2 linked regions of the Lonchura striata genome follow. The protein of the gene in region 1 purifies or fractionates together with the protein of each later gene. This does not show direct contact. Links are inferred from orthologs where the notes say so. Each region holds a gene or a part of one and is shown on either strand. Other genes may lie near its edges. The genes, in order: WDR20 and PHLPP2.

Region 1 (3,909 bases):
AAACTAAAAGAAGAAAAATTAGCATTATTGATGTCACGAAATAGCCTTCCAAGTGGTATCTGTGACTCAATATTAGGTTATTTATTTTTCAGTGTCATTCGTGGCTTAAGTGTTGCTCTTCCTTAATGTGTACTGATCTGCAATGGATTACTGATGCAAGAATTATCTCAGTACCAAACAGACACAGCCACTTAAAATACAGTCCTCGTGGTTCTTTTGCTCATTTTAGGAAAAATGTAACATTTTCCTATCAAGAAAAGAGGTCTTAAAATAATCTTAAAAAAAAAAAGGAAAAAACAAGAAAAAAAAAAGACAAAATCACAGTTGATATATTCACACAGCACAGCGTCATTAAATTCAACTCAATATTCCAATATGACTTAGTCAGAATGAAAATCACGATCTTAAAAGTAATCAGGGAAAATTTTTAAGGAATACATAAATAATTATGAACTAACAGGTAAAACTGAAGTTATCAGCACCTGTATTACGCCAAGGAGCACAAATAGCTGGGTTTTAAACAGATCAAATCCCTTTCCCCATCCTCATCCCAGGAACAGGAAGGAACACAAAATGTGATAGTCTGCCCAGTTTAAGGCAGAATTACATCGTGTCCATTTAAGTAACAATAGCTCTCTCCCTTTTATGACAGCCACAAGATAGAACTTTTGATTCTGAAAAGTTCACACGATCAGTTGACAGGCTGTCAGCCTGTTCCTGATTCACTTTCATACACAGACAAAACAGTTACTTCCAACTGAAGTTCCAAAATAAATTCCAAAGCAGCAAGTATTGCAGATTTAAATCAGACCATCTTCTCATTCTCATTTAAAGCATTTTCCTTAAAGTGAGTCAATCTATTTCAGCTCTTTCTTTAGGTTCACTTTACCAAAGTATTATACATATAGAATATACAGTATTGTTTTACATAGTTAATACTGTAAAAGGTCATTGAGATTAATTCTGTCCTAACAATGTCTATGTTTCACTCTATTCAGAGAAAAAAGTATTTCACACTGTCACAGGTACAGATGCCTCCAGAGCTCATGAGTTCACAAACTCAAATTTCTCAGTTACTGCATACCATACCAGTAGCTTTTAGCATCTAAAAAATCTAAATACCAAATATCTAAATACCCAGTTCAAGAAGACTTTTGTAATTTGATATAACTATAATTATTCTATTCCTTATTGTCAACTAAGTTCCAGCCTTTAGATTTTTATTTGTCAGAAGTGTGGCAAGAGATGACTAAGAGAACTTGCAAGAATCACATGTACCATTACTAAACTACATAAAGGCCTGCTCTGTGAGCTCAGAGAACTCTGCAGCTACTTTGCATGGAAAAAACAAACAGCAGGACCCAAACATGGCAACAATTTAGGATGTAGATTTTCAGAGATACTGCTCCTCAGGATACCTTGTAAAGACAGCAACTGGTTGTAAGTAGGGAATACTGTTTGATACTAAATACTCCTTGTATCCTTAAAGAAGCCATTGTCCAAGCATTATTTGAAACATACCTAGATTATTAAAATTCATTAAAAGGTGAAACTAAATACACACACACACTTTCACATATAATTATACAAGACATATCAGATCTGTTAGGTCACAGTCTAACAAACAACCATGTAGACTTTAAACTCCTGCTGCTGCCGACATTTTATAGAAAGGAGGAGTGCTGGGGGCACTCCCCTAGGACACAGCAGATTCAGGTATAATCCCTTGCTCATCCACGAGCTTCCTGCACAGCCTCGTGTGAGTCTCTAGCTCTCCGTGCCCTCATCCCATGCTGAATGGTGAGCTAAAAGCAGGAAGATTTCAAGGCGATCACATGATGGCAACTGAGACCCAAGCATGTAAAATAACGAACACCCACTATCTGAGACAAAGCAGAAAACTGACATTCATTATATATGTGTTTATATCTATTAGGAGTGACGTGGGTTCACCTAGCACAGCAAATTCCGAATTGTTCTCTCAATCCTGTTTGAGAGAAGGGTTTGTTCATAAATATGGTGACCTGAGAGATCAAATGCATGCACTGTACTGCATCCAATAATGACAAGCAAGAAGTGTCTCTCTCAAGTACATCAATCTTTTTATCCTGCAAAAGCAACTTTCTCTCTGTCAATTATCTGATATTTAAGACTCATCTCACTACACCACTCCCATTTAGGAATAATTCTAAAACCAACCCACACTTCTAAGTCATAACAAAGGCCTAAAACTGCACCGAATGCTTCAGACGTGCAGCCAAAGCTAGGAAGAGCCTGGAAGCAGGGATTTGACACCACCATAATCACGACAGGCATTAGCGTGTCCAGCAAATTCTGACCTGAAGCAGCAGGTGACGGAGGCCGAGGGAGGGAAAGCCAACCCTGATTCCCGCACGAGGAGCGCCCAAGCGATCGCATCCCTGCACAGGGCCCACACACACGGCTCCCGTCGGTGACACCGTATGTGGAGCAGCCCCGAGCACCGGCCCGCCGCCGATGCCCTCACACCGCCCTCGCCGCAGGCCCGCTCTCCCCCGCCCAGCCGCCAGCTGGCTGAGCGGAGCTCGGCCGGAGCCGAGGAGCCGCCGGCCCCGCGGGGAGTGGGGACAGCGAGCGAGGCGCAGCCCGGCCCCGCGCCCCCGCCCCCGGCGCGGCCCGCACCCCGGCGGGCGGGCGGCGCGGAGCCCCGCCGCTCCCCGCCCCAGCCCGGCGGGGGAGCCCCGGTACCTTGCGGACCCCCTTGTAGATGTAGAAGTAGAGCTCCCGGCCCACATTGAAGCAGAGCCGGTCCCCGTTGCCGCTCTGGTCGTTGACGTTGACGAAGGAGACGCGGACGGGGTTGGAGCCCTGCGAGTTGAAGGGCACGCGGTTAGGCCGGCTGTACTCCGAGTGGCTCAGCAGCTTGTACAGCCCCTCCCGGGTGGTGAACTGGGTCTTAATCTCGTTCATCTCCTTCCCACCTCCCTCCGCCGCCATCTTGGAAAGGAGCGCTCATCCTGCCCCAGTGCCCGGATGTGCCGACACTGCGCAGCCGCCGGCGCGCGCGCGGCCCCTGCGCGCGGGGGCGACGCGAGGAGGCGGGGCCGGCGGGGCCTGTTTACCGCGCGACTGCGCGCGCGCCGGGCCCGCGCGCCGGGGGCGGGGAAAGGGGCGGGGGCTGTGAGTGGGCGGGGCCTCGGGCGGGAGCGGCGGCGTGCCCGAGGGGCCCGGCGGGGGACACCGCGCACAGCCCCCTGCACAGCCTTCCTGCACAGCCCCCTGCACAGCCTTCCTGCCCCAGCCCCCTGCACAGCCCCCTGCACAGCCTTCCTGCCCCAGCCCCCTGCACAGCCCCCTGCACAGCCTTCCTGCCCCAGCCCCCTGCACAGCCTTCCTGCCCCAGCCCCCTGCACAGCCCCTGCCCCAGCCCCCCTGCACAGCCCCCTGCACAGCCCCCCTGCACAGCCCCCTGCACAGCCTTCCTGCCCCAGCCCCCTGCACAGCCTTCCTGCCCCAGCCCCCTGCACAGCCCCCCTGCCCCAGCCTCCCTGCACAGCCCCCTGCACAGCCCTCCTGCACAGCCTTCCTGCCCCAGCCCCCTGCACAGCCCCCTGCACAGCCCCCTGCACAGCCCTCCTGCACAGCCTTCCTGCTCCAGCCTCCCTGCACAGCCCCCTGCACAGCCCCCCTGCACAGCCCCCCTGCACAGCCCCCCTGCACAGCCTTCCTGCCCCAGCCCCCTGCACAGCCCCCTGCACAGCCTCCCTGCACAGCCCCCTGCACAGCCTTCCTGCCCCAGCCCCCTGCACAGCCCTCCTGCCCCAGCCCCCTGCACAGCCCCCTGCACAGCCCTCCTGCCCCAGCCTCCCTGCACAGCCCCCCTGCACAGCCCCCTGCACAGCCCCCCTGCCCCAGCCCCCTGCACAGCCC
Region 2 (3,909 bases), on another chromosome or scaffold:
TAAAGTGCAGTAGAAAAATACACTTTCCTTTCAAGAGAAAGCAATGTGGTGTGAAACCCAAACCGGCATCAGCTCACATTAGAACCGCACAAACTCATCCTGTACCAAACACAATGAGTTCTGAACACTGGCACATGTGAGAACACACAGCTGTCACAGCAGCTGCGATCTGGCTCAAACAGCCCACCACATCCTCAGTAGTATCACACATCAGGGACTGAATACTTCCTCTGCTCACAGAAGCTCTCTGGAGCACAGGCGCAAAGCCTTAAGGAGACAGAAAAGACAAAGAGAAGGAGCAACAGTTTCAGTTTCATTCTTGTTGTAACTGTAGCTCTCCATAAGTAAGGGTCAAGTTTTCAAATCTTGGAAGCTTAAATTTTTGTTGTAAGTGGTATTCAGAGCAAAGAAGGTAGCTGTGCAATTCTTGTCTAACCCTTCCCTCAGGAAGATACAACTTCTGGATATGAAGGGATACAAGCATAAAGAAAGATTCTGCCTAGCAGAAAGTTAAAGATCCATGAGGTGCATTGTGGAGAAAAAGTTCTTACAGAAACTGACTTGAAGTCAGAAACTTAATTGAAAAGGAAACAGAATGATCACAAGCATATTGTTGAATATTTAGACTGAATACATAAAAGAGCTTATGCTATTCTTCCATACAGCTTTCAGTCTTCCAAGTCAGGTTTCAAACTAATGTCTGCCATGCTCTGGAAAGAAAGTCACCTGCTGATATTAAAAGGGCGAAGAATTCAGAAGCTGTCTGAGAGAGGCACGTAGTTATGGTAATATGTGATCAGATATTTAACAAAGTAATTTGTATAGTGAGCATATTATTAAAGTAATTGGTAAAGTTTGTTTGAGGAAGGAATTATCTCAATAGGGCATGAGGATAATCTTGAGCACTCTATCATCTTCCCATGGACATACAAGTAGATACCACTCTGGCCTGCTTCCTGCTACTAACACAGGTGTTACTGAAGCAATACTGGTAACTCCCACTTCTCTACCAAGAAAAACTCCAGTGGGAAGTATTTCAAGGATCTCTTCTGTGACAAACACACTCTGAAAATTACCAGGAACAGACACATCATAACCAAGAACTCTTCACAAAACTTATGAAAAATATTGGCCAAGTCCTAAACATACCAAGAGGCAAAAGGAGTGGGAAGTAATAATTTACAGCTCAGTACTTGCTTCCAAAAGGCTAACAGAAGATCCAATTTGCTAATCTAGTGCAAAATCTACCACAAATCAAAGACAGGCACAGCTAGCTAGCATAAGAAAAGAGAGGTTGAAAAGAATTCAAATGCAAAAGCCACTTCAAAAGCTAAATAAAGTCAAAATGTATCTCTCTGAAAACATCTACAAGCTTTACCTAATTTTTTCATGATCTGCACAAATGGCTCTGCTCTTCCTTAAAAATTGCTGGAAAATCTGCTCGCTATTAGGGTCCAAAATATGCCAACTCCCTTACAAATTTTTCAAGCAACAGAGGTTTTCAGCTGCCTCAGTGGCAGTGTTCAAGTGTCCATCTGTTCTCATACAGTGTTTCTAACTAATCCATCCCTAATTCCTGTAACCCTGACCAGGGTAAAGCAAATGGTTGTAAATAATCTTTTCTAAGAGTCAGTTTTGAACACGTCCTGTTCTCTCTGCATCTCCCACCACTAGCATTACCACCCCACTGCAGAGCAAACATACATCACAGTTTTAAGATTTGGACACATGAGACCTGTAACCTTCATTTCACTATCCAAAATCCAGCTACTACCTCTGTCCAACCTTTAAGTAAGGAGACTGCAGCAATCATTTGCCTCTGAGAACAGGAGTGGCAATTTTATAACTGCATCTTAAGTCTGGAAGAATCAGTGCAAAGTTTAAATCCTAACAAACTGAATGGGAGCTTCTAAACCAAGATGAGTCCATAACACAGTCACAGCACAAAGTTCGCACACATACAACCCTGAGCCATCTATTTTCAGCCTAAATTGACTTCCGGCATAAAACGTAGCATCTGATGCTTAAACCTTCTTTATATAACCCTTGCTACAATTTCTATCTGCCTTTAATTACTTAGCTGACAACTCTTCTCAGCAAAAAAAAAATTACTCACATGTAAATATGAAATGACATAATTGCGAAAGCACCTTACTGCTTTTGCTGACTCAAAGTAACTGTTTACAGCCTCTTAAATAGATGAGGTTGTCCAGATGCTAAAATCCCCATAACACAGAACATACTAAAGAAATATATGAACAGGTGCCTCTACTCAGAAAATGAGGACATATTTCTGGTTGGAGCAATAGCCAAACTCTCCCTGTTAAAACACATAACTACGAGGTGTGTAACTTCTATTTCACCACTACCTAATTTTTATGAAGTGCATGACTTAAGGCTGTACCTGACTGCCAGCTACTACCTCTACCTGCTCCCTACCCACCCTCACAACAGGCATAGGGACATGGTGAACAGAGGCTCGCAAAACTATACAAAACATTTTGTAGTCAGGTTTATCCTTTCTCAGCCCTCACCTGACCAGGTCTCCATGAAGCTGCAAAAAGAGGTTTTTCCTCCCTTCTCTGTCACAGATCTCCGCGGCTTGGGTGTCCACTGTGCAGAGGACCAGGTGCAAGTCCGAAGGAGCCGCAGCTGCTGAGTCTCTCCCATAAACATACACGCAGCCTCGTCGAACATCCCCTTTCAGCCAGGTCCTCTCACGGGAACCAACCCGACTGCTGCTCTGGCAGCTCCTGCTCCCGGTGCGCTTGGCGTTCCTCTGCAAGGCAGCCCAGACCTGAGCGTCAGCAGCGCCTGCGGCCGCTCCGACCCGGCCCGCACCGGCCCGCTCCGCAACTCCGCACAAGCGGCAGCCACTGGCATGGGAAAGACCACGGTCGCAGCGGGCAAGTGTGCCCGACGTGCCGCAGCCGACTCCCACTCCCCCCACCGAGCCGCCCGGAGCGGGGGAGGCCTCGGTCTCCTCCTCACCTTCAGCACCCGGATGCCGCCGCGGGATCCGGCCCGGCACCCTCGTGTGGCGCCCGGCGCGGCCGCCTCGTCCTCCTCGGGCTCCTGCGCAGCCCTGGGCCCCAGCCCGGCACCCGGCCCGGCCTCCCCCATCACCGGCCAGGCCGGCACCCCGGGCCTCCGCGGCCCGCCCCGGAAGCGCGCGGCCCGTCCGGCGCAGGCCCCGCCCCGGCGGCACCGGCGGGGCAGCGAGCACCGGGCCCGTGTCCGCGTCTTGCACCAGCGGGCGGTACGAGTGTGAGCCGCTCGCCAGCCGGGCGAGGAGAAGGCAAAGCTCACGCGAACGCTGCAAACGCACCTGTCGCCGCTCGCCCTCCGCACAGCTCCAGCGTGTGTCACCATCGGCACCCCGCAGCTGAGGTACGCTGCTCAGCAGCCGAACAGCACCGTGCTCCTGCTGCCCTGCAGGTCCATCTCCTAAGCTCTGCCAGTCTTAACTAGTGTCTGCTACTAATAATGTCATTAACTACTAGTGACGTCATCATCTACCAATGACATCATCATGACAGTTTGCAAGAATTTGAGCATGTTTTAGGGCAGCCACTGCTTCTCCCTCAAGGATCAAGAACATTAAAAAAAGCCTCCCACCTTCCCCGCAGTGAAATTACACGTTTGAAAAGACGTGAAAGGTCATCTAGTGAAATGTGACTGTGACTAAAACACAAAGCAGACACATGTGGTGAGAGAGATATGGTGACAATCCTTGTCCAAGAGTCACATGGAGTATGAAAGGGGTCTTTTAACAAGCTCCTAGAGCAGGCTCCAAACACATTACTTGTGTTCAGATCCCACCATGCCTTTCTAGCACCTGGACAAACATTGCTGCTTGTAACTAACATGCTCTCTCTCAGGATGGTATTCCACAGGAACTACTCAAGT

The links.
Region 2: the proteins of WDR20 (region 1) and PHLPP2 purify together in Homo sapiens (affinity purification with mass spectrometry; 4 studies listed by BioGRID and IntAct, with this or other methods). This does not show direct contact. The link is inferred for Lonchura striata from reciprocal best matches to the Homo sapiens genes WDR20 and PHLPP2.

What each region holds. Positions count from the first base shown.
Region 1 is NC_134608.1:11,010,821-11,014,729, forward strand, and holds the start of WDR20 (WD repeat-containing protein 20), read right to left. Parts: upstream 3,020-3,909; 5' UTR 2,977-3,019; coding exon 2,728-2,976; intron 1-2,727. UniProt on the Homo sapiens protein: Regulator of deubiquitinating complexes. Activates deubiquitinating activity of complexes containing USP12. Anchors at the base of the ubiquitin-contacting loop of USP12 and remotely modulates the catalytic center of the enzyme.
Region 2 is NC_134615.1:23,822,777-23,826,685, reverse strand, and holds the start of PHLPP2 (PH domain leucine-rich repeat-containing protein phosphatase 2), read right to left. Parts: upstream 3,141-3,909; 5' UTR 3,124-3,140; coding exon 2,992-3,123; intron 2,780-2,991; coding exon 2,535-2,779; intron 1-2,534. UniProt on the Homo sapiens protein: Protein phosphatase involved in regulation of Akt and PKC signaling.